Linked DNA regions of Arabidopsis thaliana. The protein of the gene in region 1 interacts with the protein of each later gene in a pairwise test. Each region holds a gene or a part of one and is shown in the gene's direction. Other genes may lie near its edges.

Region 1 (5,874 bases):
TGTTACATACGTAAAACACTGTTGACAGGTTTTGCTGAATAGCTAGCTGGTTCTGTATGGTTAAAGAACTAGAAAAGAGTGGAATTAAGATCGTTAAGAAAAAGCTAAGGTTTTAGAGTTTAACTATGAAATATGTATGTATAGATTATGCATTTTCGTTTTTGGAGGCTATCATCACACGTCTAAAATTAGTCCATGTGTTGTTAGAGCTGTCAAATTTTAGTTATTGACAACACTACTATACATGGTATTTTCTGGAAAAATGTATATAAAAAAAAAACACTTTTTAAAGTGAAGCTTTTTATTCCACTTACGTATGTTAAAGTGCTTAGAAAAAGATAGGAAATTGTACTGGACATACAGAGAAGACAAAGGACAAAGAAGACCAATACATGTCGCTACTTTTTACAAATCTCTAAACCTTAAATTCTTCCCCATGTATGCTTGTGAACAATTAATAATTTGAATTTAGATATAATTCTTCAATTGCCTTTCAAAATCATTATTCAGCAAATTAAGTAATTCTTCATGTTAATAGTAATCGTTGACATCCAAATTTGGATATATATTGATAATTTAAACTACCAAATATTCCAATGAACTAGTTCATATCGTTTGCTAAATAATGTTTTCTATATGCAATTTCGTGATATACTACAAGGTTATATTTCAAAGTTTCTAGAAGCAAACCTTTAAAATCAAATCAAATATGAAAATTACTTAGGAAAAAGTTACACGCTTGACATGAATACAGTTTCTTTTTAAGATTTGGTATTAGTTGAACCTTTTGATGAGAGTAATGGAAAAAATATGGAACCCATTAAAAAAAGAAGTTAGATAATACTACAAAATTCCTACCACAAAAGAAAAGAAGAAGATAATACTACAACATTGACCTAGTAGTTAGAGCCACCATACCCAAACTGTTGTCGTATCAAATCTTTAGTAATTGTACTATTCTAATGATCGATTCAAATATTATAATATAGAGATTATAGATAATTGTATAGATATTGTACGTTAAAAGAAATATGTATATATTACATGGAACATCATAGGGAATTGAATGTTAGTGGACATTACGATGTGAGACCGCCTTCAACTTTTTTGACTACGATAAGAACACAATTCTCGCTGTCTGAGAAGTCTATATACAAATGAAACAACTCCAATGTTATCTGTATATAATCAATAAATCATCTTGCAAAATTTGATCGTCGTACTTATATATTAATTACTAAATAGCCAAACAAAGCTTAAGTTTTGACCATCTTAAAACACTATTATTGATGAAGCGCGAAACGCTATAATCATTAAAGACGCCAAACTCAAAGTTTCTTTTCTCCCTTAGGTTTGCAACTTTGCATCTGTGTAATTTTAAATTTAACTACAAATACATATTAAAGTAATCATATATGAACTTAAGAACTATACTTTCTCAAACTAATGTGTCGTTATGTTTTTGATAGTTGTTCTTTCTTATAAATATACTAGCTCAACTTTTTGTTCGAAAAGTTGTCTCAGCAGTTACTTAAATCAAGAGTGTTGTCCATTAAGGCTAGACAACGTCCATAGGTGTTTATAGAAAGAAAAAAAACCTTCCATAGGTTTCCATTGCATTAACACAAACGGGTTGATTGATTGCTCTCTCGCTAATTTTTTTTAATACTAATAGTCATCATAAACTTAAAATTAGAAACCAAGGTTGCTTTTTGAGGTTCCCAAAACTTGGAACCCGGACTTGTGTAAAAAGAAAGAAAAAAACAACCCAAAAAACTATGCAAAGTAGTGAATGTTGTATAAAAGCATATATCACAACAACAAAAAAGAATATTGCAAAAAAACAAAGTATATGATATGTTTGGGGGCATCCAATACGAGAGTTTTGATATCTCAAATCCACGACATGCTATCTTTAACTTTTTAATGTACAACTCACAACTGTTTTATCATCCAGTACCAGTAATTGATGACTAATTGGGTGCTGGGTGCATGCCACTTTTTTCTATATATCTAACAAATCTAAGTCATAAAGTTTCTCTAAACCGAATTAAATCCAAAAATCTACTTATTTAGTTAGACTCGAGAGTAGGTAATGAGATATTCTGTAAGAAATTTGTAATTAAACAAAGATGTTATGTAAATTAACTGGGATGATTCCAAGTAACATAAGCCACGTGAACTTTGACTTTGACACCGAATTGATCAATTTTAAAAACAAGATGCAGTTTATATGCGAGAGAGACAAAGATATTTGTAAGTACTGTTATGTTGTCTAGTGAAGAGTACTTTGTTTATAAAAACAATGTTTGGTTTTATTCACATTGTCATTTTATTATTTGGACCATTTTCGTCTTGCTTAGCATCCCGTGCATGTCTCATCTAAATCCTCACTATTAAGACATTTTAACGCACACTACATGAATATTATAAGTTTTTCCTTTCTATTTCTGCTGGTGTCATACGTACTGTTCATATAGACATCAATAAGTTTCTTGTACAAACAACTAGACTATGCAAAATTATAAGAGCTGGATTGTATATTGTTAAAACTGAGGCATGTATGAGTTGTACGCTTAAAAGTGAAATATTTTTTCGGTCGCAGGTTATATACTAGAATGCAGTTAGATTTTAACTAAGAAATAAATTTTTGACCAAAGCATTTACAGTATAATGCATGATTTATGTTACTATTGCTGCTGTCTCATTTTCAGATTTCAAAAATCAGATCTAATTGACGTGATAGCATATAGAGGCTAGTAAAACACTATGAGTTTATACTTTTATTGATGGTTAAAATTATTTTTACATCTTGCAGTCATCTTTCAACCATTCTTCATTCTAGAAGGAGTTCTTGGTGACTTAATAAATGGCTTTTTACAAATATTTTGGTGTAGGACTTATATTATACATGTGTGTGGCGAACCTTCTGGTTCTATCTATTAAATGCCTTTTCTTTTTGTAGTTTTTTATGATTCAGAATTCAGATATTTGATTTTGTAATATTATATTTTCTTATAAAAGAGAATAAAATTTCAAATTTCCTGTCTACACTTGCCGACCAACGTTCCTCAAGTGTCACATCTTCTGTGCAAGAGAGACAAAACTACAATCTGTTCACACAATGTCATGATGTTTATAATTAATCTTATCATCTTCATTCATATCAAACTAATATCGGCCATCCATCCGTCTCAATAATGTAATTGCATACAATCTTTGTTTAGGACTTGCTAGCTATTTCAACTTATTATTGATTACAGATTAGATCTACAATTTGTAAAGAACTTCTAACTTCAAAACAAATACAAAAAAAAGAAAGTGAATGTAAAATTTCTAGTGTCATAATTTGGAATAGTTGAAGCATTGAAGTTACAATATCGAACGTTAAAATATTGACACTAGATAGTACATTACCACCAAGGCTTTCTGATTATTCTTATCATGTTATATGAATAGTAAGAAATTACGTAGAACGCAATTTAAGTGTGTGCGAGTCACCACAAATTAAAGGAGAACAAATTCAATGTTTCAATCGCTGGTTCCGATATACAACTTATGCATGCCATGGCATGAATGCGAGATCCAATTATATACTAATATATACACACAAAAACATATGTAAATATAGATGGAACAGAAGCCTAGATAGGTTAGGATAAAGAAAACGATCAAATCTGCAAAGATCAGTCTCTCCCAAATCCCCAAAAAAAACAAAGCATGCATTTCGTAATAAACAACTCATCATAAAACGACACATAACTCGAAAACCTCTCCTCCCGACATTTCATCAATTCATTTCTCTTTTTATTTTCGAAAAGATGAAAACTTAATAAATTATTATGAACAATCTTACTATATATATGGATATATACACAGGCCCTAAAACGTAAAACAGTTGAGGACTTTACATCTGAACATGTCTTTCTCCGTGAAAGGTCGAAGCTTACGTGGCAACAATAACGGAGGAACGGGGACGAAGTGCGGGAGATGGAATCCAACGGTGGAGCAGTTGAAGATATTGACTGATCTGTTTCGAGCCGGTCTTAGAACTCCAACAACTGATCAGATTCAGAAGATCTCTACGGAGCTCAGTTTCTACGGCAAGATAGAGAGCAAGAATGTTTTCTATTGGTTTCAGAATCATAAGGCTAGGGAGAGGCAGAAACGTCGTAAAATCTCCATTGATTTTGATCATCATCATCATCAACCATCAACTAGAGGTAGTCTCTTTATATATATATATATATATATATATATATATAATTATATATCATTATTGTTTTATATGATATTTCTATATATTTAATGGATAATAGTGTGTTATTATAGATGTTTTTGAAATAAGCGAAGAAGATTGTCAAGAGGAAGAGAAGGTGATAGAGACATTACAACTCTTTCCGGTGAATTCATTTGAAGACTCCAACTCCAAGGTGGACAAAATGAGAGCTAGAGGCAATAACCAGTACCGTGAATATATTCGAGAGACCACCACGACGTCGTTTTCTCCATACTCATCATGTGGAGCTGAAATGGAACATCCACCGCCATTAGATCTTCGATTAAGCTTTCTTTAAGTCATTGACCACAATAACAAAAGAAAAAAAACAGATGCTTTAGCCTTTAAAATGTTGTTGTATTTTGAATTATGACATATTATCCGATGCATGGTTTATGAGATATTTTCCAATGCATGGTTTATCAAAAAGTTGTCTCATTTTGTTTGATATAAGAATCTATGTTATGGAATGCGTATATGTATATCATCATATAACTAAGGTTGTGATTTGTTAATGTATTTTTCTATATTTTTTAAAAATAATTTAAGAAAGACATCATTAACGAATAGTTCTATTTGCATCACAGAAATACTAGAAATATCAGATAAACTTAAAACTTAAAAGATGTTAAAAAAACAAACTTAAAACTTATCTCTATCAATTTACAAAATTTACATCATCTCGAAATACTTAAGTCTTGATCAACAACCATTAGACCAAAAAACTTGCACAATCTTATCAGAATAAAACCAACTCTTTTAAACGAACAGATTAATATCCTTAATATTATTTTACCCAGACCCATTGTCTTTTAGGCCCATATAATTGGGCTTTATAATACAGAGAAGGCCCAAACTTTGGTTAAACCCATAGTGCCTAGAGAAGATTAATTAAAGGGGTTTTCCTGGAGAAGAAGCAAACTCAAGTTCCGTCGGAGATAAAACGGAATCAAAAGTTGAGGTTTTGATCATTCCCGGAGAAAGAAATTTAGAATTACTCAAGCGAATTTGATTAACCCAACAATGGATGTTATAAAGACGCAACAAATATCGGCAAGGACAATCGAGAAAGTGATCGTTCACCCACTTGTCTTGCTTAGTATCGTCGACCATTACAATCGTGTAGCCAAGGACACGAGCAAGCGCGTCGTCGGCGTTTTGCTCGGAAGTAGCTCTCGTGGTACTGTTGACGTCACCAACAGCTACGCAGGTGCCTTGATTTTACTTTTTCCTTTCTCTTTGTTCTCTTCGATCTCACAGATCTCTGAAAGTTTGTTAAGCTCTTGCTAATCTCATAATTCAATATGTTTAGTGTTCTTGTCTGAAAATTTACTTAAGTTTAGTTTTTTTTAGCTTTTGGGTTGCAAAATTGTCTTACTTTTAAAATCGTTGTGTGATACTTGGATTCAGTCAAACTTGGTCCTAGTGGCCTAATTCCATATTGGAGTGATGAGTATAATATGGTGGTTGAGTTAATTTCTTAGAGAATGAAACAGATTTCATTTGATTTTGCACAGTACATTACACTGTGAGCATGTTCATAAGTGCGTTGTTGTTACTTGCACATCACTTGTTTGACTTTTTGTTTGTGGTTT
Region 2 (6,950 bases), 1.8 Mb from region 1:
TTGGTCCAATCTAGAAGACATTCAGCTGAATGCTGGCCATGAAGATGTGAAACCAAGCTCAAATTCTGCATGTACTCGTACACAAGAAGACGTTCTTGTCCTTCAGCACAGTAGCCACGAACACTCAACAAATTCTTGTGACGAATACGAGCAAGAATCTCGACTTCCACAGCAAAATCTATCTCTTCTCTATTACTCCATTCCTTCAACCTCTTGACTGCAATCTGTAAAAAGACAAAATAATCAACCTCACAAGATCTCCAGTTTGAACAAGAAGCAAGTCCTAGATAACATGTTGAGGTCAAATTACTTGTGAGCCATCCCATAGCTGACCCCAATAGACACTACCAAATCGACCTTCACCGAGTTTGTTATCGTAATTGAAACTGTTGGTGGCTGCATGAAGTTCCTTCAGTGAAAATACCCTCCAAGATGGCTCTTCCTTTTCTTTCTTCTTCCTGTGTAATTTAATCTCAGTATCCTCAAAAACTTATATTTAGATCATTCATCAACACATTAACAAACAAATAACTTATGAAACGCAGAACAACAGTTGAATCAATTATCCCTTGCAAAACCATGTCTTTAGAAGGAATAAGACCACCCTGAAACTACTCAAATTGCTATTAATGATGAAACTTTCAAGGATCAATCAGGTGATATATTATATAGTGAGGATGATAAAAAAAAGAACAGACTTTACATTTTAAAACATTAGAGATAAAGGGAAGGCATAGAGAATTGAACAAAAGATAAGCTCCAAATTTCAAACATCCAAAATTGATATAGAATCTTTAAACCCTAATCAAGAAGAACAACCATAACCGATTTAACCAATAAACAGAATTTTGCAGCAACCCAAACAAAGGAAATAAAACAGACAAACCCATAGAGAGAAACAGGAAGAGTAACAATTATCGAGTCAATGATTCAAACATACCCATCAAATCCTTTTCCACAACAGCTATTTAAAAGTTGCATCTTTCGAACAAATAGCTCTGTCTCCTAGATTTTTCCTCGTACGGACCAAAAAAAAAGGTAACGCTTTGTCTGGAGAAGGTAACAGTTTAATAGAACAAGTCTGAGTAGCTCTAATTTCGTCTCGATGTGAGATTGATAAACAGAGAGAGAGAGAGACAGAAGTACAAGTAGACTATTTATTTTGTTCTTTTTTATTATTTTTGCACACTTTTTTTTTTTTTTGCTCGCATAAAATAAACAAATTTTAAAAATATATATATAGTATTAAAAAAGAAGCTGATATGGAAAAGTCATAAACAATAAATAAAACTTTAACCAAAAGAAGAATAAAATTTTTGAACGTTAGTATCCGTTGTATAAAAGTGTATATATTAAGTTCCAACTGTATTTTTTTCTCATATCTATTTATTTATTTTTCCTTTTTATTATATGTGTCGTTTTAAAGTTTTTGTTTTACTCTTCTGTAATGTATTATACAGAAATAACATAATTATAAATAAGCTGGATTTTACCAATTATTTAATATAAAACGGAAAGGGTATGTTGTTGAAGATACTTGATGTTTTAAAATTTGAAGTTGTTGTAGTCATTGTTAAGGGTCGGCTGATGAGTCAGGACAACTCATTGAAACCATTTATTCGATGTTTCAAATATTAAACAAATAGACAGAAGATTCTACTATCTTCTTCAAAAATATAATATTAAACACAAGTCTTTGTTTCTTTGCTAGCTCTAGTTACAGAAATTTTGAATTAAAGCTATGAAAATAACTTTACGTTTAGTAAATTGCTAAAATATTCAGAGCGATCAGAAAGGAATGTTTGCTCTCTCATCTTAAAATTATATATTTGAGGTGATGCTTCTTCACCAACATGGGCAGATGGGCTTATGGAACCATTTGCTGATTAATTGCAGTCATTGATAACTGTCTGGGTGTGTCATTGTCATCAAAGTGATTGTTCAAGGAAAACATGTTTGGGACGAAATTGATTCCCAATCATGTTTAGCAATTGGGCCAGTCAATTCCCCCGATAATCTAGACCTAAAAGCCCAAACCAATGTAAGCAATACTGGTGTAGGAATACTTGTAAGAAGATTTGATATGACTCCTACTAGAACCATAATGTGGATGGACTGTTGAAGTAGCATAGTAATTACTAGCCAAAACATCCATGGGAAAAAAAATAAAGTACAAATATAAATTTTGATTTTTTTTTTTTTTATAAATAGAACAAAACTAAACATGTGAATAGGCCATATCTCTTAAATTCCTAACAAATTAGCATAATATATTCACGGAAATGCGTTACAAACCGTATTATAGAATAAAACTCCACTTTTTACTGTGAATTACTATAACAAAAAAGAAAGAATACACATTTGTAAAATTCACTTATTTGTTACCACATAAGATTTATATTTTTCCAAAAGTAAATTATCCATAAAACCTTTAATTTGTTTTTTTGACAATAAAAGATGAAGAAAATAAAATTTAATTAATTTGCGTACTACATAACTGGAAATAAAAATATCACATCTGATTTACTGCTATTCTTCTCTAAATTAAAAACTTCAAAATCCATTACTTAAATAATTAATTCATAAAAAAAATATTTGCAATATTAATTGACGGTTAGTTGATGTCATAAAAATAATATAATGGCACTAAATTCTATACAGAAACAGAAATAAACCAATTATGAGATACTCTACTTTAATGTATAGTTTGAAAAACAAAAAAAAATCCCCAGCTACGTTCAAAACCTAACGAGAGAGCATTAAATTAGACAGCAGTGTTGTACTAGATTCGCAACAACATCAATACGTCACTTAAATTAAAATAAAATACGAAAACATTAAATTAAAATAAATTTTAGAAAAAGTAATTAAAACGAAGGTTACTTATTATAGTGGGGAGATTAAGCTTTTTGAGTAAATTCCTATCTACAAAATACACGCTTCTATTAAAAAAAATAGAAGCCCAACGACCACACAAAAACAAATTAATTAAATCATAAAAACTCATAAATTAAAATAAAAAGCAATAAATCCAAAAAAAAAAAAAGGAAACTCCGAAAACGAGACAGCATCAGAAATTATCGCCATAAATAGCCCCCACGTCTCTCTCTCTCTCTTCTCCAAAGTCTTCTTCTTCTTCTTCTTCTTCTTCCTCTTCTTCCTCTCTGCTTTGTCTCTCTCCTTCTTCAAAGTCAAAATTCAACAGGTATTTATATTTATAAACTTTCCTTTTTTTCTTTAATCTCTTTCTCGGGAGCCTCTCTCGTATATTCTCGCACGTGCACATCTCGTGCCACCTGGGTTTGGGGGGATTCGTCTTTCGAATTCGATCGATTTCGTTTTTTTTTTTAGATCTGTCTTTCCTTTTTTGGGGTGTGAAGAAGATGTTTTCTTTTATAAAACCCTAATTCTCTCTTTGTGTCTTTGTGTTTGATTAGTGGTTCATGAGTGGTATTGTGATCGATCTGTTACTTTCGGAGAGCGAGCAATAAGAAGAGGATATGTCGTCACTCAGCAGAGAACTCGTGTTTTTAATACTTCAGTTTCTCGATGAAGAGAAATTCAAAGATACTGTTCACAGGTAATTTATATTATATCATTGTTTAATTGCGGTCCCTCTTCCTTTGATTGTCGGGATTAGAGTAAAGTAGGGATTAAGATTAATTAATTTTGATTTTGTAATTTAGCATTATTTCTTCAATGTTAATCCAGAAGCAGTTACAACTTTGGATATTTTTTTTGACTAATTAGGTTGGAGAAAGAGTCTGGTTTTTTCTTCAACATGAGGTACTTTGAAGATAGTGTAACAGCTGGTGAATGGGATGATGTAGAGAAGTATCTTTCTGGATTCACTAAAGTTGATGATAATAGATACTCTATGAAAATATTTTTCGAGATTCGGAAGCAGAAGTACCTTGAAGCACTTGACAAGTAAAGTTTCACTTGTGTTGTTTAGTTTTATTGAATTGAAGTGTGGTTTTGAGTATTGATTTGTTTTCCCATCTTTTGTTTTACCATAGGAAAGATCATGCCAAGGCGGTTGATATTCTTGTTAAGGAGTTGAAAGTGTTCTCGACATTCAACGAAGAGCTTTTTAAGGAGATTACCATGCTTTTAACCTTGACTAACTTCAGGTACATTCTTTACTTTCTTAGCACTTTTTTTTTATGGTTTCATTGACCACTGGATTGTTATAAACCATGCGCTTGTGGTGTTGATGTTTCATTTACTTGCAATAATTCAAGGGAAAATGAGCAGCTTTCCAAGTATGGAGATACTAAGTCCGCAAGAGGTATCATGCTTGGGGAACTTAAAAAACTGATTGAAGCAAATCCTCTCTTCCGAGACAAACTTCAATTTCCCAGTTTGAAGAATTCTAGATTGAGAACCTTAATAAATCAAAGGTACAAGCTTTGTTTTTTTAACTTTTGCTCCCGTTTTTCTTTTGGTGGAACAACTAACTGAACGTTGCTTCTGCTGAATCATAGTTTGAACTGGCAACATCAGCTTTGCAAGAATCCTAGGCCTAACCCGGATATAAAAACACTATTTGTTGACCATACGTGTGGGCATCCCAATGGTGCACACACTCCTTCCCCTACAACTAATCATTTAATGGGTTCAGTCCCTAAAGTTGGAGGCTTCCCACCATTAGGTGCTCACGGTGTAAGTTGCTCTAAGATTACAGCTTCTGTTGGATTAGTTTTTAGCACATGAATTTAACTTTGCTAGTTTGTATGCTCTTGTTCAGCCATTTCAGCCAACACCAGCTCCTCTTACAACATCTCTTGCAGGATGGATGCCTAATCCATCGGTACAACACCCTACTGTTTCCGCTGGGCCTATCGGCTTAGGTGCCCCCAACAGTGCTGGTAATGTTGTCCCTACTAATTTTATTCTTCTGAAATATGTGTGTTGGAGATTTAGTTTACCAAATATTAGCTTATACGGTTATGTAATTTGCCATCCCTTGTTTAGATCATCATTAGTTGGATGGTTATCTGTGCTTCTTTGACTGACTGAACTGCATGAAATGATATAAATATATTTACTGAGTTACATTTTCCAGAGCTGTAGTGGTAAACTGTCTCTCTTTTCTTTTACGGACTAAAGCAGTTTTTAGTGGTAAACTGTCTCTATGGTGGATTAGAGAGAGAGAGAGAACTATATGCTCATATCAGCCGTTTTGTTTAATTTCACAATACTCTTGTTTATAGATAATAGATAGAGAAGCAAACATTTAATTTAATGTCAGATAGCCTTGAAGTGCTGTCTTAGGTCTGAAACTTTTATTTATTTCATTTTTTGTAGTCCATAACGTGGAGATCAGTTTGTGTGTGTTTACCAATTGCATAGCTTACCATAATCTATTTATTCTTCTTTTTTTCCTTGCAGTGTCTATGTTAAAGCGTGAGCGTCCCAGGAGTCCTCCAACTAATAGCCTATCAATGGATTATCAGACGGCAGATTCTGAAAGTGTGTTGAAGAGACCCAGACCTTTTGGTATTTCAGATGGGGTATTAACGGCTGCTTGTTCGTTTTTCAGCTTAAGTTCTCAACTTTTCTTAGAAGTCACAACTTTCTTTGAACATTTTACAGGTTAATAATCTTCCAGTCAATGTCTTGCCAGTCACATATCCAGGGCAAAGCCATGCTCATGCAACTTATTCTACTGATGACTTGCCCAAAAACGTTAGCAGGATTTTGAGTCAGGGTTCTGCCATTAAGAGCATGGATTTTCATCCAGTACAGCAAACTATGCTCCTTGGTTGGTTTTCTCCTCTGAAGCACGCATCATTCTTCTGTTTTATTCTGGTTTATGCCAGAGAAACCTGCAAAACTTGTATCAGACAGCATAACTTTCATCTTCTCAGTACAATCTGCTTACTTTATCTTGGATTTACATTTGTTTCCTAGTTGGCACCAATCTTGGTGATATTGCAATATGGGAGGTGGGTAGCAGGGAGAAGCTCGTTTCTAGAAGCTTTAAAGTTTGGGATCTTGCTACTTGCACTGTGAACCTTCAGGTATAGTTCCTCTTTATTGATCTACTGTAACAGTCGAATGAGGTGGGAGATTTGTTGTTAGTTAGTTAAAACTATACAGAGGATTTTCTTCTCTTTTTAGTGAGGAACATATCAAGGTTAATAGCTAGTTTTCTGAGATAGATTACTCATAAAAGCTTTCAATATTGCCACGTACTATATCAAGGACATCTTTATCTTTTGCTGACCCGTTGTCTGATTTCATTCTTGTTCATTAGGCTTCACTTGCTAGCGAGTATACTGCAGCAGTAAACCGAGTTGTTTGGAGTCCTGATGGAGGTCTACTGGGTAAGCCATTCTATGATCTTATGGGCGTATCGTTAGTCAAGTGTTTGTGTCCCTCATGGGTTGAGGCTGGTTGTCATATAATTTTTATGGCAAATCAAGTGTTGTAACGTCTACTTCCTATTTCAGGTGTCGCATATTCCAAGCATATTGTGCATATATATTCATATCATGGTGGCGAGGATTTACGGAATCATCTAGAGGTCTGTCTTTTTTCCTAGTAGGTTACCATTCCGCTTATGTTTTTTTATATATATATTCATTGTTATATGTGGATATAGGCATGGAATCTGTTTACTGTAAGAATTTATAGTTCCTTGGTTTATTATTGTTTTCTTTTCTGTAGGATTCTGATAGTAGTTTTTTTGTTTAGGTTTGCTATAATCATCGAGCAGCATTCTTGGATCTTTGAATATATGTTTTTATCACCGTTCAGCATTCTTAAATCTTTGTTATAATCATCGAGCAGCATTCTTGGATCTTTGAATATATGTTTTTATCACCGTTCAGCATTCTTAAATCTTTGAAACAGCTGGGATCCCAACACGCTGATGTTTGTTTTTTGGTTTATCATTACAGATTGATGCCCATGCTGGTAATGTCAACGATCTTGCTTTCTCC
Region 3 (9,804 bases), on another chromosome or scaffold:
TTCATCATTTGTTATAAGTCTCGATAAGACAGTTTTTGTTTTTTTAACAATTTTTTACAAAAAACTTACGACCATAATTTAGTTCAGGCGAAAATCAGTGAATCATTAATCATATTTATTAGTTTGGATTTTTATGTGTTTTTCTTTTTATGTATTTGAGGATTTTTCAGTTTGTGAAAACAAATCTAATATGCTTATTTGATTTCTTCTTTATTTGCTGTATTCTTAATATATCTTGCAGAGCTAAGGTAATACTCAAATTTTTTTTTTCCACACGTAAAAACTCATATTTATCAGTTTGGAATTACTGTATTCTTTTTAGTAGTCCTCTCACTCGCCATGGCAAGAAGAAGGTTTTTTTTTCCTTTTTCTTGCATTCCATGTTAATCAGTATTTGAATAAAAAAGCAAGCTAAATCGGCAAATGAACTTATATCCAAATAATCAAGATATCAATCTGTGTAAGCATTACTAGAAAAGTAGAGATACTCGTGTTACCGTGTAAATTAAAAGAATAAAAATGTGCTTTTCAAAAGTTATATACTTTTCTTGTGCACCCATAACTTTAGCAAAAGCAACCATCATCATTCTTGAGCAATTAAAACAAATAATATTGATCTTCATTTGGTGCCAAAATACTTTACGGTAATGACGTCAAACTCGATGTTTCTTGTCAAAGTCTGAAAGACCAATATAAAATAACACTAGACACATTATAAAATTAACATATTGGTTCATTGTAATTAAACCGTCGAATATATATAACGAAAATACCAATTACGCTGTGAATAAACAAACAAAATCATTTTATTAGTCATCGAGTAAATAAATTCGATTATAATCCTCAATAGTCAATATATATATAGCTCACATCACATTATGCGATTAACAAAAACAATCCAAAACAGTTAAATGATTAGAAATTAAACGAGTCTCACTAAATTATTAACGACTCCAAATCACGAGAAGGCTTAAGAGTTATCATGTCGGGAGAATTTAACTGATAACCTCTTCCATTATCTCTCAATCACGTGATTTTTGTTCAACGAGTACCGCATCTCAAGAATAAAAATGGCAATTTAGGTAAATATTTGTCATTTTCAAGGGCAATGGAACTTAAAGATGCATTTCAGAAGGAAAAGCTTTGTCGTGTTATGAGGGAAATGTGGGGACGCAGCTACTTCGCTTTCAAACCGTTGGATGAATATCCTTTAAGGTTCATCGTACAAGATCGACGGCACTCACCGAGGGTGTACTCATGTTGTGACACAGAGGATCATGTCTACTTGGAGTACAGCTAGCAGCTAGAGATTCTGAGCCGATAACGTCGAGAATTGTAGCCGGCTAAGTCGTATATGCTGGTTTAAACTTTAATCTGTACTTATATATAAGTCAACGTGCTTATCAAAATCAGCTCCCTTATCGTGTGATAGGTGCATTGTCTTATTAGACTCCGTTATCCGTCACCTTCGCATATTAAAATCACTTTTTATTTTTTGGTTTTAAATTAAAGTCTCCATTTCTGCAAGATTTTAATGTTCGTATAAATAAGCCTGAAGAGAGAGAGAGAGAGAGAGAGAAAACTTGTTTTTTTTTTTTCCATTAGTTTTTTTCTTACTTTCTGGTCGAGAGAGGAGAGTCCAAAAAACCCAAATCCTTGGCCTCTTTCAATATCAGGAGAGAGAAACTGAAGCTCTGGCCTTTGTTTCTGAAATCGATCGTCTTCTTCTTCTTCATGGCAAGTAACGTATCTAGGTCTTTCATTTTTGGTTTAATATCTAAATCGTAGCTTTTCTGGGTTTTTGATTTTTGTTTTTGTCTCATGGAAGTGAAAAAGATGGCCATTTTAAGCTTTATATTTAATTCGGTGGACAATAATAATACTAGGAAGACCTAATTTTTGTGTAGCCCAATTAAACACTAATTAAATCCGCCGGAATAGAGACTTTTGGAGAATTTTCCGGAGGATAGTTGTAAAGATCTAGTTATATACTGTGTAATTAAGAGGCTGTGTCTATTTTCATTTTTTAAAAATAATAATTAAATGGAGGAATATCTGAAACCCAGTAAATTGGGATGATTTGATGGTTTTGTAAGGTTATCATCGTCGCCATTATATTGATATGCAGATCTGGTGGGTTTTTCTGCATCTGACTTGATAGCTTTATCGGACTGAGTGGCAAAATCAATCATGTCTTCTCTGAGCAGAGAGCTCGTCTTCTTGATCTTACAGTTTTTAGATGAAGAGAAGTTTAAAGAGACTGTTCATAAGTATGTCCGATCTCTCTTTTCCTTTTTGTCTTTTATTAGGCATTATTATTAACTTGATTGATTATTAATTAGGCTTGAACAAGAATCTGGGTTTTTCTTCAATATGAAGTATTTTGAGGATGAGGTGCACAATGGTAACTGGGATGAGGTTGAGAAGTATCTCTCTGGTTTTACTAAAGTTGATGATAATCGATACTCCATGAAGATTTTCTTCGAGATTAGGAAGCAGAAGTATCTCGAGGCCTTGGATAGGTAACTTGTGTCTCTCAACAACAACAAGAATCAAATGTTTTCATATTGCCAATCAATCACACCTGCTGCTGCTTCTATCTAGGCATGATCGTCCCAAGGCTGTCGATATTTTAGTCAAAGATTTGAAAGTGTTTTCCACTTTTAATGAGGAGCTTTTCAAGGAAATCACTCAGCTCTTGACCTTAGAAAACTTCAGGGAGAACGAGCAGTTATCCAAGTATGGGGACACAAAGTCCGCCAGAGCTATCATGTTGGTGGAACTCAAGAAGTTGATTGAAGCTAATCCTTTATTCCGTGATAAATTGCAGTTTCCTACCCTTAGAACTTCACGCCTCAGGACTCTGATTAATCAGAGGTATTCTTTGTCCTTTCTTGTTCACTTCAACAAATTTTCTTCTTGTCAGCTACTTTAACTCCTTGTTTCTATGTGGCTACATAAACCTGCAGCTTAAATTGGCAACACCAGCTTTGTAAGAACCCAAGGCCTAATCCTGATATTAAGACTCTCTTTGTCGATCATTCCTGCCGCCTACCAAATGATGCACGAGCACCATCCCCTGTCAACAATCCGCTTCTTGGATCATTACCAAAAGCCGAGGGATTTCCTCCTCTAGGCGCACACGGGGTAGGTCAATTTCCACCTGATTTTTCGTATTTTCTATAAGTGCCATTTCTACTGCTTTTGGTTCTAGCTCTATAGTTACCTTTACATGCCGTGCTTGACTTACCTTTATGTCTTTAGCCTTTTCAACCAACACCTTCTCCGGTTCCGACACCTCTTGCTGGTTGGATGTCTAGTCCTTCCTCTGTCCCACATCCAGCTGTGTCTGGAGGACCCATTGCTCTTGGTGCTCCATCCATCCAAGGTTATTTGCTTATCAAATGTGGTGTTTCTTTATAAAAGCTGTGTGGAACTATAGTCTTAAATTTTATCCTCGCCTTTTTTTCAGAACCTTTAAGTTTCACCTGTGATCTATGTAACATGTTCTCCTTTTTGGTTCTTAGCAGCCTTGAAACACCCGAGAACTCCTCCTTCTAATTCCGCTGTAGACTATCCATCAGGTGACTCAGACCATGTCTCAAAGCGAACCAGACCTATGGGAATCTCTGACGAGGTGAGAAAAATCTTAATTAATATTATATATTTTCTTATCAATACCAATTTTACATAATTGGTAGTACTAGTTTAGACTTTAAACGTATTTCTTCTTTCTCCCCATATGTAGGTGAGTCTAGGTGTGAACATGTTACCAATGACATTCCCGGGGCAGGCTCATGGTCATAATCAAACCTTCAAAGCACCTGATGACTTGCCCAAGACAGTTGCACGAACTTTGAGCCAAGGCTCATCTCCCATGAGCATGGATTTCCATCCTATTAAACAGACTCTGCTACTAGGTCTGTTTCTTGGTCTGTATGCATATTTCATGTAACATACATCATCAGAAATTTTGTAAAACCAGAAGTTTCTTGCTTCAATTTTCTTTGTTCCAGTTGGTACGAATGTAGGGGATATTGGGCTCTGGGAAGTCGGTTCTCGAGAACGTCTAGTCCAGAAGACTTTCAAAGTTTGGGACTTGAGTAAATGTTCGATGCCCTTGCAGGTGTCTTCTTTTGTGAAAATCAACCAGAATATTAATATCTAATATCTATTTGAAACTTCAGTGACCAACAATTCTGGTCTTTATAGGCTGCTTTGGTGAAAGAACCTGTCGTTTCTGTCAACCGTGTGATTTGGAGCCCGGACGGTTCCCTATTCGGTAAGACTTGAGATTACAAATGCTCTTTCAACCGATTTGAGTATTCATATGCGCACGTTTTCAACTGCAGGAGTTGCTTATTCGAGACATATTGTACAGCTATACTCTTATCACGGTGGTGAAGACATGAGGCAACACCTTGAGGTGTGATATAGTTTACAACAACATTTTAGGAGTATTTCTTTCATTTCCTGTAATGAAAATCATTTTTTATTATTTCAGATTGATGCTCATGTTGGCGGTGTCAATGACATTGCATTTTCCACTCCGAACAAGCAACTATGTGTTACTACTTGTGGTGATGACAAAACCATCAAGGTTCAGTATTTTTTTTCTTCTTTCATTTCCTTAACTCTTGTTTTTTTTTTTTTTTGTTGGAACTCTAAAAACAGACTAATCAATTCTGTGAATTAAGGTCTGGGATGCTGCAACGGGTGTAAAACGGTATACTTTTGAAGGCCATGAAGCTCCTGTTTACTCTATCTGCCCTCACTACAAGGAAAACATTCAGGTAAAGTAGCAATATTTATACGGTTTCATTTTTGCTAAGTACAAGTTGAAATTCGTTTCTATTTGGTTTTGACTTGTTTATTTCTTCTTCTGCTTAAGTTTATCTTTTCAACTGCTCTTGACGGAAAAATAAAAGCATGGTTATATGATAATATGGGTTCTCGGGTTGACTACGAAGCTCCTGGTCGCTGGTGTACAACGATGGCCTACAGTGCTGATGGAACTAGGTTATAACATGATTCTCATCATCTTTATGTTGTGGTTCTGTTCTGTATCGTCATGAAGTGATAATAAATTTAAAATCTATTTTTTATTATATTCACATGGATAGGCTATTTTCTTGTGGGACGAGTAAAGATGGGGAATCGTTCATAGTTGAGTGGAATGAAAGCGAAGGAGCTGTGAAGAGAACTTATCAAGGATTCCACAAGCGTTCCCTTGGTGTTGTCCAGTTTGATACTACTAAAAACCGTTATCTCGCTGCGGGTGACGACTTCTCCATTAAGTTCTGGGATATGGACACCATACAGCTTTTGACTGCCATTGATGCTGATGGAGGTCTCCAGGTATGCAAACAAATACCTCGATTCTCCCTGGGAACCGAATGTTTTCATTTGCAGCCATCATGGCTCTCTATGTTTTGTAGGCAAGTCCACGGATCAGATTTAACAAGGAAGGCTCTCTCTTGGCTGTTTCCGCAAATGACAATATGATTAAGGTTATGGCAAACTCAGATGGTCTAAGGCTATTGCACACAGTCGAGAACTTATCTTCTGAATCCTCCAAGGTACTGAATTTTGTGCTCACTGGATCTTCAACAAGCAAATTACTAACCCCCAATTTGAAATTTCTTCAACACTTTATTTTTCATGTACATTTGCAGCCTGCAATCAACAGCATTCCGATGGTAGAGAGACCTGCCTCTGTCGTTTCCATCCCTGGAATGGTACGAAAATCGATACTTTTTCCGTCAGTTTCTCTATCTCTTGGTCTGGGTCCAATCATCGTTGTTGATCACTTACCTTTCCAACAGAATGGAGATTCGCGGAATATGGTGGATGTGAAGCCAGTGATTACCGAAGAATCAAATGATAAGTCTAAGGTATGGAAGCTTACTGAAGTCGGCGAACCCTCTCAGTGCCGTTCATTGAGACTCCCTGAGAATATGAGAGTCACCAAGGTACTAACACATAGACTGACATAACTGTACTTATATGGCTTGATTCTAATGACTCAAAACTTGAGCAGATATCGAGATTGATTTTCACAAATTCGGGAAATGCAATTTTGGCATTGGCATCAAATGCTATTCATCTGCTATGGAAGTGGCAGCGAAATGACCGTAATGCAACTGGGAAGGTACTTATGGTCTAAAATCTTCCTTTAAGATCGCCAAAAGAGTTGAAATCATGATGAAATTCAATTTGAGATTTTGTGTAGGCAACGGCTTCTTTACCTCCTCAGCAGTGGCAACCAGCGAGCGGGATCTTAATGACAAACGATGTGGCTGAAACTAATCCAGAAGAAGCCGTACCCTGTTTTGCTTTATCGAAAAATGATTCCTACGTGATGTCAGCATCGGGAGGAAAGATCTCTTTGTTTAATATGATGACGTTTAAGGTAAAATCCCAGCTACAGACAGCACTATGTCTAATGTATGCAAACAATGCTTCATCTGTTACATTTAATTGTGTTGTTGGCTAAGCGCAGACAATGGCTACTTTCATGCCGCCTCCTCCTGCCGCAACGTTTCTTGCTTTTCACCCTCAAGATAACAATATCATTGCGATCGGGATGGATGACAGTACAATACAGATTTACAATGTTCGTGTTGATGAGGTTAAGAGCAAGCTTAAAGGACATTCTAAGAGAATAACCGGCCTCGCTTTCTCCAATGTATTAAACGTTCTGGTTTCGTCTGGAGCAGACGCTCAGGTGCTGATTCATCTCATGTTTTGTAATAAAGAATCCAAATCCTTAGAAGTCTTAGTGTGAATCTTTTGGTTTTTGTATGCAGCTTTGCGTATGGAACACGGATGGATGGGAGAAGCAGAAAAGCAAGGTTCTGCAAATTCCACAGGGAAGATCCACGTCTTCTTTGTCAGACACGCGTGTTCAGTTTCATCAAGATCAAGTACACTTCCTTGTGGTCCATGAAACTCAGCTCGCTATATACGAAACAACCAAGCTTGAATGCATGAAACAGGTTTTAGTCTTTATATATGTTCATTCTCTCTCCTTGCATCTGAGTAACCCTTATAGAAGAAAGAAATGTCTTTATTTTGATTCCAGTGGCCTGTGCGTGAATCAGCAGCTCCAATAACACATGCCACATTCTCATGTGATAGCCAATTGATATACACAAGTTTCATGGACGCTACAATATGCGTCTTCAGCTCTGCAAACCTTCGATTGCGTTGCAGAGTCAATCCCTCTGCATATTTGCCAGCTTCTCTCAGGTGAGTTAATGAAATGAATATAAACTAGTGCAATGTTGGATCATGAATCTTGAGTCTTCATGTTGATGTTTTGTGCAGCAACTCGAATGTCCATCCACTGGTGATAGCGGCTCATCCGCAAGAATCCAACATGTTTGCAGTGGGTCTGTCAGACGGAGGGGTCCATATATTCGAGCCGCTTGAGTCAGAAGGTAAATGGGGAGTAGCTCCACCGCCTGAAAATGGCTCAGCCAGCGCTGTCACGGCTACACCTTCCGTTGGAGCTTCTGCCTCTGACCAGCCTCAGAGATGATCTGCTTCAGTTTCTTACTCTGTTTTTTTTGTGGGGGTTTTAGATCTTTTCCGATTTATTATTGTTTTGTTTGTGTGGGGGGAAGAAAGCATTCTAACAAGGTAAATGAATTAATAGCTTACAAGTTCTTCTTAATTGGTTAATTCGATGTTGCTTGCCTCTGATATTTTGGTCTTGAGAAATATCAGTTTTGCAAAAGGACGAATTTGCAATTTTGCACTCCGAATCTAAGCACGAACTAAGGATTGAATGCCACGTGCAGCTTCGAGATAGGTTTGGATATTCGTTTTGAGATACGAAGGAAGAATTACTAAGGCCTATGCGGCCCACGGCCCACAGACTTATATATCTACAATGATAAATATCTTCAAAAATAGTAATTTTGAGAAAATATTGAGAAGAGACAGAGAAAAAAAATCGAGTGAAAATTATCTGGTGTGTGTATCTAGAAGAAGCTACAGAGTGGGACGAGGTTTAAACTCGCCAATCGCCATTGACCTCTCGCTTGCTTTCTTTAACTAAAATGGCGACGCTATCAACACTAGAGATTGCTACGACCTTCCTCTCTTTCACCGCTCCTCGTTCCTCTGCCGCCTTCAACTATCGCTTTTCTTCTGCCGCCGTCTCTGTTCTCTCCAGGCCCAGAGCTACCACCGTTTCCGTCAGAACGACGCCGTCTTTCTTCTATTCCCCGGTGGTCCGCCGTCAAAGATTCTCATCTGTCTCCGCCTCAGCTACGCAGACTGAAGATTCTGATGTCACCACTAAGATTCCGCCAGATAACCGGATTCCGGCTACTATTATCACCGGTTTTTTGGGCTCTGGCAAGGTCAGTCAGTGTTTCTCATCATTTCATATCTATTCTAGGGTTTAAAATTAGCCCTGCTAAGTAAAAGAAATGTTGGACTAATTATACTGCAATGTTTTGTTTTTCCACAGACAACATTGCTGAATCATATACTGACCAGAGATCATGGGAAGCGAATAGCCGTGATTGAGAATGAGGTTAGCTTATTATCCTCGCCTGAATTCAGTTATAATGGTGTTGCTTTCTAATTCATGTTTCATGTGAATTCTCTCAGTTTGGTGAAGTTGACATTGATGGGTCACTTGTTGCTTCTAAATCTATTGGAGCTGAGGATATTGTGATGCTCAACAATGGCTGCCTTTGTTGCACTGTTAGGGGTGATCTTGTCAGGATGATTGGAGAATTAGTCAATACCAAGAAAGGAAAGTTCGATCATATAGTCATAGAGACTACAGGTTGGGAAAGGGGGCATTTTCATTTAGTATGCTTAGAGAATCTGGGGAATGAGTAATGACTATCTTATGTTTATTTTCACTTTTTAGGATTGGCAAACCCGGCACCGATTATCCAAACCTTTTATGCCGAGGAAGAAATTTTCAATGATGTCAAACTGGACGGTGTTGTTACTCTAGTTGATGCTAAGCATGCTCGTTTGCATCTAGACGAGGTCAAACCCGAAGGTGTTGTCAATGAGGCTGTTGAACAAATAGCTTATGCAGATCGTATCATAGTTAACAAGGTAACCAAAGTTTTGAACACAATTGTCTCAAAGAGAATGTGATAGTTTTTGTGATCTTGAGTGGTTGAATCTCTTCTATCATAAGATTCAGGTCGTTCCTCTCTCAAATAGTTTATAGTTTACAAATAAATTCATTTGCACAAATGGTTTTGACACGTCCTAAGTGATGGATCCATATGTTTTACTCAAATATATTGAGAAGTTATCGGTTGTATTGTTTTTGTTGGCATATCCAATTTCTGAAAAGTGACTGTACTTTGTTGCAGACTGATCTTGTTGGTGAGGCGGAATTAGGTTCGGTGGTACAACGCATAAAGGTCGGTCTCACATCTTCTTCGTATTCATTTATTTCACTAGATGATTATATGTTAGTCTCTCAGACCATTCTTGGTTATAATGTTAACGTATTTGCTATGGTTATCTACAGACAATAAACAGCATGGCTCAGATGACGCGAACAAAGTACGGAAATGTTGACTTAGATTATGTTCTTGGAATTGGAGGTTTTGATCTAGAGAGGTCTGCTTCTTGTTTAACTTATGATAATATTCAGTTTGGTGTCTTGTAGCTTCACACAGTTATTAAGGTGTTCTTTGCTTTATCAGAATCGAAAGCTCTGTGAATGAAGATGATAAGGGAGATCACCATGATCACGACCATGATCATCATCATGATCACAACCATGACCACGACCATCATCACCACGATGGACAT
Region 4 (9,905 bases), on another chromosome or scaffold:
ACAAATTTAAAAATATTTTCTACATTTATGTTAATAAGTAAATTTTACTTAAGTTAGGAAACATAGTATCAAATTTCTTATTTTACTTAAGTTAGGTTTTGAAGAATTAACCTCGATTTGTATCTATCGTGTTTTTAAAAAATGAAAATTGACATTTATCCTTAAATTTATAAGATATATTTGTAAATTGTATTGTTCTCATTAGTATACCCTAATCACTTTTCTATCTCTCTATAAATACCTGTAAATCTCATTCTAAAATAAAGTCAATACATTTAGCCTCTATATGGTACCAAAGCTTACAATTCTAAATGGTATAAAGAATATATATGATATATTGTGAAAATGTTGGTGCCACTTACCTCGGTACCAATCCGGTTTTCTATTCTCGAATGAACCATATATATAGCACTTAATTCAAGCTGGAATGCTTCAGATTACTCATGTCTCCATTGGTGATCAGTTAGCAAATACATTCACTAAATCTTTAGCGAAATCAATATTTCAAAAAAAAAGTTCCAAAATTAGAGCTACACGAGTACTTCCATACTAAAAGGACGTATAAAGAATATACATGTAAACCATATTGTTATATCCTAATCATTTTTTTCTATCTCTTAAATACTTGTAAATCTTAATTCTAATAAAGTTAATGTATTCGGCCTCTATAAAATTTTATTTTATATATACTTAATAAGTTATTTTCATACTCCATATGTTTCTTTTATTTGATTTTCTAGAAAAAAAATGTTTCAAAAAGATTAATTTTATAGGTTTTCAATACAATACTTATTAGTTATAATTGATAAATTGTAAACTTCAATAAAAATTATTGAATATTATTGGTTTAAAGTTATTAAAAATTTTAAATTATAAAAAATAGTACATTTAAAAAACAAGATTTAATATGTCTTTTTTTAATATTTATGTTTTTCCTAAAAAATCAAATAAAAAGAAATATTAAAAATATTATTTTCCTTTTTTTATTATTTTTCTTTTCAAATATCTATTTTCTAAATCCATATTATGTTTTTCTTTTATAAATAATCTCATTTCGCCATGGAGAACACGAGTAATTCTCCTGGTGTATGCCTAAAAAAAAAAGCAAAGATTATAATATGAGTATATATAATTATATATGACGTAACCTGCGAGATGTTGAATTGTCCACATTGTAATTGTCACGAACACTTAATTAAATCTTGCGAAAAAGAGATCTCAAAAATATCGCGAGAAAAAGAAAAAAAGGATAATATGAGAAAAGCCAAACGAAGAGTGCATCGAAAGCTGAGAGCGACATAATAAAGGAGAGAGAAAAATGTGGGGACCAGACTGGACGTGTGCACAGAATATTCACACTATTTGAATTTTGTTTTCGAATCCGCCACTCTATCTCCAAATCAACTTATCACTCAATTTGATAATAACTTAACCTACCTCTCTTATAAGGAAGCCTACTTATCACCGACGAAGACTCCGCTTATATCTGATAAGTCGGTAGAACGATGTCTCTGTGCAAAGAAGAACGCGTCCAAGAAAGCGAGGTCTAAAGTTTCTCAATCCCCCAATCTTCTCCTCCTTCTTTATATATTCTCTCTCTCTCTCTCCATTTTTCTCTAAAAGCTAGAGCTCTTCAAAACCCTAGAAATCCTCGAAATCAGAGTCTTTACCTGGGCTCGTGTCTTCAGAGCTCGGATTCGTGTTTCTTTCGTCGTCTCTCTTCTTCGTTTCTCGTCAGATTTGAGATTCGTTGAGAATGTCGTCGTTGAGTCGAGAGTTGGTGTTTCTGATACTTCAATTTCTGGAGGAAGAGAAATTTAAGGAATCTGTGCACAGGTTAGTCTATTTATATGGTTTGTTTTGTGTTGTGTTGTGAGAGGCTGAATTTTGGGATTGACTGATTTGTAATTTGTTAAATATAGGCTTGAGAAAGAGTCAGGATTCTTCTTCAATACCAAGTATTTTGATGAGAAAGTTCTAGCTGGAGAATGGGATGATGTTGAGACGTATTTGTCAGGTTTTACTAAGGTTGATGATAACAGATACTCTATGAAGATTTTCTTTGAAATTAGGAAGCAGAAGTATCTCGAGGCTCTTGATCGGTATGATTATAAGCTGTCTTATTTGTTTTTTTACTCTTGAAGATTTGTGGTTTTAGAGTTTGATGTTCTCTGTTGTTACAGGCAAGAGAAGGCAAAAGCAGTTGAGATACTAGTGCAAGATTTGAGAGTTTTCTCCACTTTCAATGAGGAGCTTTACAAAGAAATCACTCAACTCTTAACTTTGCAAAACTTTAGGTATGATATATTGAATTTTGATCTCTCCTTGTTGATGTTTCTGTTGTTATGGAAAGTAGGAATATGAGACTTGGTTTAGGTTCAGTCCAAGTCGAGTTCGTGATGCTTTGTAGACTGTTTTTGTTTGGATGTGAAAGAGGGTGTGATACTCGAGTTTCTCTCTCGATTGTTTGCGTTTTGTGGATTGAAATTTGACATCAATGATTTTCATGAATCTGCAGGGAAAATGAGCAGCTTTCAAAATATGGAGACACTAAAACTGCTCGGGGCATAATGCTAGGCGAACTTAAAAAACTAATTGAAGCGAATCCACTTTTTCGTGATAAATTGATGTTCCCTACTTTGAGATCTTCGAGACTGCGGACTCTGATTAATCAAAGGTGTGTTTCTTTTTTCTTTCCTCATGACCATTCTGTATGTTGCAGATGAGGTTTGGATGACTTCGTTGTTGGATGATTCATTGTGCATATGTTCTCTTGCAGCCTCAATTGGCAGCACCAGTTGTGCAAGAATCCTAGGCCAAACCCAGATATTAAAACTCTATTCACAGACCACACTTGCACACTTCCGAATGGTCCTCTCGCACCTTCAGCAGTCAATCAGCCTGTTACTACTTTGACGAAGCCAGCAGCTTATCCGTCACTTGGACCTCATGTTGTAAGAAACCTCGATGTTTGACTGCTTTAATCATGTTTTTTGAATCTAAATTAATCTTAATGTTTGTGGAATCTGTATTACATGTAGCCCTTTCCACCTGGTCCTGCTGCTGCTAATGCTGGTGCTTTAGCTAGTTGGATGGCTGCTGCCTCTGGTGCTTCTGCTGTCCAAGCTGCCGTTGTTACACCTGCCTTGATGCCTCAACCTCAGAATCAAAGTTAGTTTTTGACGATCCTCTAGATTTCTAATCCTCGACTTATCAATAACTATCATTTCAGTTTCCATCAAAAACTTATTATTTTTCTTCCAAAAAGTGTCAATCTTGAAGCGACCAAGAACACCACCAGCAACTCCAGGTATAGTAGATTATCAGAATCCTGATCATGAACTAATGAAGCGTCTCCGCCCTGCTCCATCTGTGGAGGAGGTAACGCGAATTCTTTTCTTTTTCTGGAAAGCTGTTTATATAATTCTTGCATCTTCTCAAAATTCTAAGCATTTATCATTTTCCAGGTGACATATCCTGCTCCTAGGCAGCAAGCTCCATGGTCGCTGGAAGATTTGCCAACAAAGGCAGCTCTGGCGCTGCATCAAGGGTCCACTGTGACAAGCATGGAGTTCTACCCTATGCAAAACACGTTACTTCTTGGTATGGGGGTTTGAAAAAAAGAATACAAATTCTAAACTGTGTTTGAAGTTATATTTCTGTTATCTCTTATTTGGCTTTCTGAATGACCGTTTGAATGCCATCAGTTGGATCTGCGACGGGAGAAATCACATTGTGGGAACTTGCCGCTCGAGAGAGGCTGGTTTCAAGGCCATTCAAGATATGGGATATGTCTAATTGCTCACATCAGTTTCAGGTTTGTCTTTACAGCTAAGAAGTTTTTAGTTTATGTGTTTGATGTATAAAGGCGGAATTCAACCAAATGGCTATGAGAAGTGTTGGAGATAAAACGTATCAGCAAACTAGTTGCTGTGCAAGATTCTTATACTTGCCTTTCTTTTGGCATCATTCAGGCTTTGATAGCTAAAGAAACACCGATATCTGTCACTCGCGTTGCATGGAGTCCGGATGGAAATTTCATTGGTAAGCTTCCCGTCATGCATTGTTGGATTTTAATTGTATGTTGTCTATGGTCTCTGGTCTCAGTCTCTTATTGTGCAGGGGTTGCGTTTACAAAACATCTAATTCAGTTGTACGCTTTCTCTGGACCTAATGATCTTCGCCAACATACTGAGGTAAGCATACTTGTGATCTGTACGAGAAATATTGCGATGTAATAATATCCCACTGAGACTAGATCACTTTTTCACAGATTGATGCCCATGTCGGTGCTGTGAACGACTTGGCTTTCGCCAATCCAAACAGACAACTATGTGTAATTACTTGCGGAGATGATAAATTAATCAAGGTGAGATAAAGAGTCACAAAGTTTCACTGTTAGATATCAATGCAGCTGGCTAACTTGATCAATGTGGAACAGGTATGGGATGTTTCTGGTCGGAAGCATTTTACTTTTGAAGGCCACGACGCTCCAGTTTATTCCATTTGCCCTCATTACAAAGAGAACATTCAGGTGCGGCAAGGATTGAATCAAACTATATTTTACATCAATTATTATACTGTTTTACCAATCCGTTTGAAGAACAATAAAGTAGACGACACATTTCATATAGTATTATCTTGCCTATGAATTTCTGTTCTTTACCAAAATACATCTCGTTCTTATTTGGATTTCAGTTCATATTTTCAACCGCCATAGATGGGAAAATAAAAGCCTGGCTTTATGATAATCTGGGTTCCAGAGTTGACTATGATGCTCCCGGTAAATGGTGTACGAGGATGCTTTACAGTGCTGATGGTACTAGGTAAGATCTTAAACTCATAAACATTTCCCTCTTCTATACCGCTTGTTCTTCACTCCTCAGTTTCCAAAATCTTCAGATTCTTTTGTTTACTCCGGAGGATACTGAGTTGTGTCCTTGAGTTTCTAATCTTATCTTTCTGTTTTAAGTTTACCTTTTCAGTGCTTTCTGATGTTTTTTCCCCCTTCAGATTGTTCTCTTGTGGAACGAGTAAAGATGGAGATTCTTTCCTAGTTGAGTGGAATGAAAGTGAAGGATCAATTAAAAGGACGTATAAAGAGTTTCAGAAAAAGTTGGCAGGTGTGGTTCAGTTCGATACCTCAAAAAACCATTTTCTGGCTGTTGGTGAAGATGGACAAATCAAATTTTGGGATATGAACAACATCAATGTTCTGACTAGCACTGATGCTGAGGGTGGACTTCCGGTAAGTCCCAAAGATTCTTTTTCCCATGGCTTGTTGCTTGGATGTTCGTCTTTTTAGGTTTGCATATAACTTGTCCCAACTTCAGGCTCTTCCCCATTTGAGATTTAACAAGGACGGCAATCTTCTAGCCGTTACTACGGCAGATAACGGATTTAAGATCCTAGCTAATCCAGCTGGTTTCCGATCTCTTCGAGCGATGGAAACTCCAGCTTCTGAAACGATGAGGACTCCAGTTGATTTCAAAGCTGTAATGTTTCTCAACTTTGTATTACATTTTTTCCCTTTTTTACATCCACTGTCATTACAAGCTGTCTCGGTTTACACACTTTGGTATATTCTGTTAGGTTCCTGGTGCTCCTGTTGCGTCTGTCAATTGTAAAGTTGAACGAGGCTCTCCTGTTAGACACTCACAAATGCTGGTAAAATCACTCATTAAATGCTATGTTTCTAGCCATTTCTATAATTTATTATTCTGTTCTGGATTTTCGGTTGTAAATGAAGTGAACTTCCATTTGTCGAAATTGTAGTTTACTATTCTCTGACTATAGTAGTTGACTGTTTCCGATTTTTTTGTCATGTTTAAAAAAAATATTTACTAATCTTTTTTTTCTGAATATCCTCAAGAATGGAGTTGATCCCTCAAAGTCGAGAATCGATGACTCAACAGACAAACCAAAATCTTGGCAATTAGCTGAAATCTTGGACCCTTCCCAGTGTTTCCAAGCTACTTTACCCGATACCGCTGGTTCTTCCACAAAGGTTTGTGCAGTTATCTTTCTCAGAAAGTTGTTGGATTTCTATAAATGTTTTGAAATTGAGGCTTAATTTTCTCATGCTGCGTGGGAAAGCAGGTTGTTCAGCTTCTGTATACGAATTCCGGTGCTGGAATCTTGGCACTAGGTTCCAATGGTATCCAGAGACTCTGGAAGTGGGTTCCCAATGAGCAGAACCCTAGTGGAAAGGTAATCGTAAAAAAGAGTTTGAGAGAGCTTAATGCATGCTGTCTGCGGTTTTAAAGAGTTAGAGATAGCTTAATGCATGCTGTGTGCGGTTTTATTTAAGTACTGTTTATTATGCAGGCAACTGCTACTGTTGTTCCTCAGCATTGGCAACCAAACAGTGGTCTTCTTATGACCAATGATGTGTCTGGTGTAAACCTTGAAAACGCTGCCCCATGCATCGCTCTCTCTAAGAACGACTCATATGTCATGTCTGCTGCTGGAGGAAAAGTCTCGTTGTTCAACATGATGACTTTTAAGGTATATATTATCTATATGAACTTAAAAAAAGCCACAAGATTTCTAACTGAAAATGTTCTCACACTAATCTAGTAAACTCTTTTGGTTGTTCTAATTTCCACAAAAAAACTATTGGCCTTATAGGTGATGACAACATTCATGCCGCCTCCACCAGCATCAACGTTTTTGGCGTTCCATCCTCAGGACAATAACGTCATCGCCATTGGAATGGAAGACTCTACGATTCACATCTATAATGTCCGAGTGGATGAGGTAAGTAGTTTCTAGTACTAACCATTGCCACTTATGTAGTCTTTTTGATCTATGACAAGGAAAAACTTGTGAACCTTACGTTTTTTGAAGAAATGGTTCTCATAGCTTCACATATGTTTTACAGTTTAATTTTCCCCTCACTGCTAATGTTGCCTTAAAACTCTATCAACGATCTGAAACTTGCATATTGTGTTCCATCAGGTCAAATCAAAGCTAAAGGGTCACCAGAAACGCATCACAGGCCTAGCATTTTCTACAGCCCTCAACATCTTGGTTTCATCTGGTGCTGATGCACAGGTGTGTTATGCTGCGTCTTGTTGTTGTTGTTGTTGTCCTGTAGTAAATATATCTCAACTGAAGGGAAAAATGCTTGATTATTTTGTGTTGTTTCCTTGCTGGATTTTCTACCATTAGACTTATCTAATCTAGGAGGATACTTATTCTTCCTGTTGTCTTCTCTTAGATCTGCTTTTGGAGCATTGACACATGGGAGAAGAGGAAATCCGTTGCAATACAAATGCCAGCAGGAAAAGCCGCCAATGGAGACACGCGGGTTCAGTTTCATGTGGATCAGTTGCGTATTCTGGTAGTCCACGAGACACAACTGGCGGTATTTGATGCTTCCAAGATGGAATGTATCCGACAGGTATCTATGACTATGATGAGATCATCTCTGTAAATCCACTTATATAAAATGGATCATCTCTGACCTGGCATGTATATATGAAATGCAAGGTCATATATACATATTCTTAATCATTATTTTGAAATTTGTAATGACTTATGTTCTCTTGTTTTCATGTCTCAGTGGATTCCACAAGACTCGCTGTCTGCTCCTATATCTTCAGCGGTGTACGCATGCAACAGCCAGCTGATCTACACCACTTTCCGCGATGGTAACATTGGAGTATTTGACGCGGACAGTCTCAGATTAAGATGTCGTATCTCTCCATCCGCCTACTTGCCTCAAGGGTAAGTTTATCCAACATTTCATCAGATTCTTATTTCTAAATCACTGTACTTTGTAAGGTTTGGTACATGAATCTGTATAATAGACTTAAATTGACTTCTGAAACATGAGAAATTGGTATATTTTCATAAGCCAAAATAGTTATAAACTCTTCTCATTGATTCTCTTTGCTTTCACAGGAATCAAGGCTTGTCTCCTCTTGTTGTGGCGGCTCACCCGCAAGACCCAAACCAGTTTGCGGTAGGTTTGAATGACGGGTCAGTGAAGATGATGGAACCGACAGAGGGTGAAGGCAAGTGGGGGATGATTCCACCCTCTGAAGCTATCAATTCACCATCCACCACAAGCAACCAAACTCCAGAACAGTTACAAAGATGAACAAACCAGAATGGCTTCCTCATAATCCATCAATGTAACTAATCTCGATTATTTATAGGCAGTGTCATTAGATCTTCAAATGTAGCCTTAGTTTCAAGATTTCAAGATTTCAAGATATTGAAAATTGGTAAGAAATAAAGTTTGTATAAACTACCTGCAAATCTCTAATGAGTGAATCAACAAGAAACTGAAACTACACTAGGACTAATACTGACGAAAACCGATCAACCGTCATGGCTCGGGTAGGAGAATTCCGTCACCATCATACTGCAAAACCCCGTTCATTGGTTTGCATCTTTCACCCATTAGTATTCTCTTCTTGCACAGCTCCTCTTCTTCCATTCCTTCACTTAAGCTTCTTCTTCGGTTTCTTCTCCTCTTCAATCTTTGCCCTAAGATGAGTGTCTTCAGTCGAATTCTTGCGCTTTCCCAGAAACTCCCCTTCTTCTGAATTGGGTTTTGCTTGAGTTTAACAAACACGGTCTCATCGCCCTCAGAACCATCTCTCTGTTCTCTGTTTTCACCTGAAAGTGTTTTCTTGCGGTTGAAGACACCGGAAATCACAGAAGTCATCTTCTTAACTCGAAAAACCATTCTCCGTCTGATGAAATCTCTCTTCATGTTCTCTTCTTTCTTTATCTTCTTGCCCATATCGGCCTCTTTCTTGTGCCTCCTCGTTATCTCTGATGGTTTAGGTAGTTTGATCTTGATCGTTCCTTGTTCCATTGAAACCCTAAACTTCTACGACGTTGACACAGACGAGTCTTGGCGAGTCTTTGCTCGTCTCAGGGATGATTTTAGAGTTTGATGAAGATAGTGATATCGTCATATGATTCGATGAAAATGGTAAAGAGAGAGTTAGTGGTGTTTGTGGAGAGAGTCGTGGGTTTGATTTAACTACACTTCTTCTAGTGGTACAGTACGTTGACTTGTGAGAAAATAAAAATCAATCACCCATTAAACCGGCCCCGTTTTAGCCAATTTGCTTTAAAGCATCTAAACCGGTCTAATCAAACGACTTAACCAACTAACACAGTTCTCCGTTTCAGAAAACCCTAATTTATCGTTCCTTGTGGTATAAGATTGTAAGAGGAAGATTCATCGATAACATGGTTTACTCCTCTCAGTTCCTCATATCTCTGGTTTAGTTAAATCGTTTCGGTAACCCGGTTTTGGATGTTGATTTATTTTAAGAATCAATCAAAAATCTTCTTAAACCTCAATTTCTCTCTCGATTCATCATCATCTTCATCACCATCAAAATTCTCAGTTCTCCGGGTTGGTTCTTCTTCCTTCGTAACCAGCTCCTAGGCTTTGATTTGATTTACAAAGATACAAAATAAATGTCTCGCTCCAAGGCTCCTGCAAGGAAGCAGCAAAAGAAAGGAATCGATTTCAAGGTTCTGTTTCTTTATGGTTTTAAGTAACACTATTCTGTTTTTAGGGCTTTAAGTAACTTTGTCTGTTTTCAGAAAATCAAGAGAAAGCTCGGGAGAAAATTACCTCCACCAAATAATGCAACTAACACAGAGATTAAATCCAAAGGTATAAGCTTTCTCCTGCAACTTCAAACTTTTTAACTTCTTCCTATGAGAAATTGCTTTTTTTTCTATTGCAGCAATTATACTTCATGAGCAAAGTGTGGCAGCAGAAAGAGATGGCTTCGCTACAAGTAAGAAAGGTTTGACCTTGCTTGAGCTTAAGAACCGAACTGGGCATCCCAATGCTAAAGTTCGCAAAGGTACTTTTTTTGGGTGTGTTCTCATGTTTTTGGTTGATGAAAATATGAAACCTGCGA

What was found.
Region 2: the proteins of WOX5 (region 1) and WSIP2 come close enough for resonance energy transfer, tested with the Arabidopsis thaliana proteins (one study listed by BioGRID).
Region 3: the proteins of WOX5 (region 1) and TPR1 come close enough for resonance energy transfer, tested with the Arabidopsis thaliana proteins (one study listed by BioGRID).
Region 4: the proteins of WOX5 (region 1) and TPR3 come close enough for resonance energy transfer, tested with the Arabidopsis thaliana proteins (one study listed by BioGRID).

What each region holds. Positions count from the first base shown.
Region 1 is NC_003074.8:3,523,687-3,529,560, forward strand, and holds WOX5 (WUSCHEL related homeobox 5), read left to right. Parts: upstream 1-3,593; 5' UTR 3,594-3,919; coding exon 3,920-4,223; intron 4,224-4,332; coding exon 4,333-4,577; 3' UTR 4,578-4,754; downstream 4,755-5,874. Other genes in the region: MEE34 (Mov34/MPN/PAD-1 family protein), read left to right, coding at 5,303-5,489. UniProt on the Arabidopsis thaliana protein: Transcription factor, which may be involved in the specification and maintenance of the stem cells (QC cells) in the root apical meristem (RAM).
Region 2 is NC_003074.8:5,368,420-5,375,369, reverse strand, and holds the start of WSIP2 (WUS-interacting protein 2), read left to right. Parts: upstream 1-3,080; 5' UTR 3,081-3,205; exon of another isoform or gene 3,206-3,437; 5' UTR 3,438-3,500; coding exon 3,501-3,580; intron 3,581-3,750; coding exon 3,751-3,930; intron 3,931-4,019; coding exon 4,020-4,133; intron 4,134-4,244; coding exon 4,245-4,403; intron 4,404-4,487; coding exon 4,488-4,665; intron 4,666-4,750; coding exon 4,751-4,871; intron 4,872-5,394; coding exon 5,395-5,516; intron 5,517-5,598; coding exon 5,599-5,767; intron 5,768-5,916; coding exon 5,917-6,026; intron 6,027-6,262; coding exon 6,263-6,332; intron 6,333-6,458; coding exon 6,459-6,532; intron 6,533-6,908; coding exon 6,909-6,950. Other genes in the region: AT3G15890 (Protein kinase superfamily protein), read right to left, coding at 1-224, 311-458, 941-981. UniProt on the Arabidopsis thaliana protein: Transcription corepressor of Zinc finger transcription factors GAF1/IDD2 and ENY/IDD1 in regulation of gibberellin homeostasis and signaling.
Region 3 is NC_003070.9:30,258,833-30,268,636, reverse strand, and holds TPR1 (TOPLESS-related 1), read left to right. Parts: upstream 1-1,511; 5' UTR 1,512-1,737; intron 1,738-2,096; exon of another isoform or gene 2,097-2,128; 5' UTR 2,129-2,190; coding exon 2,191-2,270; intron 2,271-2,342; coding exon 2,343-2,522; intron 2,523-2,604; coding exon 2,605-2,877; intron 2,878-2,969; coding exon 2,970-3,147; intron 3,148-3,264; coding exon 3,265-3,388; intron 3,389-3,527; coding exon 3,528-3,637; intron 3,638-3,748; coding exon 3,749-3,920; intron 3,921-4,016; coding exon 4,017-4,126; intron 4,127-4,212; coding exon 4,213-4,282; intron 4,283-4,352; coding exon 4,353-4,426; intron 4,427-4,504; coding exon 4,505-4,600; intron 4,601-4,697; coding exon 4,698-4,793; intron 4,794-4,891; coding exon 4,892-5,019; intron 5,020-5,123; coding exon 5,124-5,358; intron 5,359-5,438; coding exon 5,439-5,579; intron 5,580-5,675; coding exon 5,676-5,738; intron 5,739-5,825; coding exon 5,826-5,972; intron 5,973-6,040; coding exon 6,041-6,151; and 12 more. Other genes in the region: PTAC17 (plastid transcriptionally active 17), read left to right, coding at 8,067-8,372, 8,483-8,548, 8,626-8,806, 8,894-9,090, 9,357-9,407, 9,518-9,609, 9,696-9,804. UniProt on the Arabidopsis thaliana protein: Transcriptional corepressor. Activates TIR-NB-LRR R protein-mediated immune responses through repression of negative regulators such as CNGC2/DND1. Negative regulator of jasmonate responses.
Region 4 is NC_003076.8:9,507,115-9,517,019, reverse strand, and holds TPR3 (TOPLESS-related 3), read left to right. Parts: upstream 1-1,612; 5' UTR 1,613-1,756; coding exon 1,757-1,836; intron 1,837-1,922; coding exon 1,923-2,102; intron 2,103-2,183; coding exon 2,184-2,297; intron 2,298-2,518; coding exon 2,519-2,677; intron 2,678-2,779; coding exon 2,780-2,954; intron 2,955-3,041; coding exon 3,042-3,171; intron 3,172-3,268; coding exon 3,269-3,381; intron 3,382-3,467; coding exon 3,468-3,603; intron 3,604-3,707; coding exon 3,708-3,817; intron 3,818-3,974; coding exon 3,975-4,196; intron 4,197-4,273; coding exon 4,274-4,369; intron 4,370-4,441; coding exon 4,442-4,534; intron 4,535-4,698; coding exon 4,699-4,826; intron 4,827-5,013; coding exon 5,014-5,248; intron 5,249-5,333; coding exon 5,334-5,495; intron 5,496-5,592; coding exon 5,593-5,667; intron 5,668-5,872; coding exon 5,873-6,007; intron 6,008-6,099; coding exon 6,100-6,210; intron 6,211-6,327; coding exon 6,328-6,507; intron 6,508-6,630; and 11 more. Other genes in the region: AT5G27020 (uncharacterized protein), read right to left, coding at 8,339-8,833; AT5G27010 (ARM repeat superfamily protein), read left to right, coding at 9,451-9,507, 9,580-9,652, 9,726-9,848. UniProt on the Arabidopsis thaliana protein: Transcriptional corepressor. Negative regulator of jasmonate responses.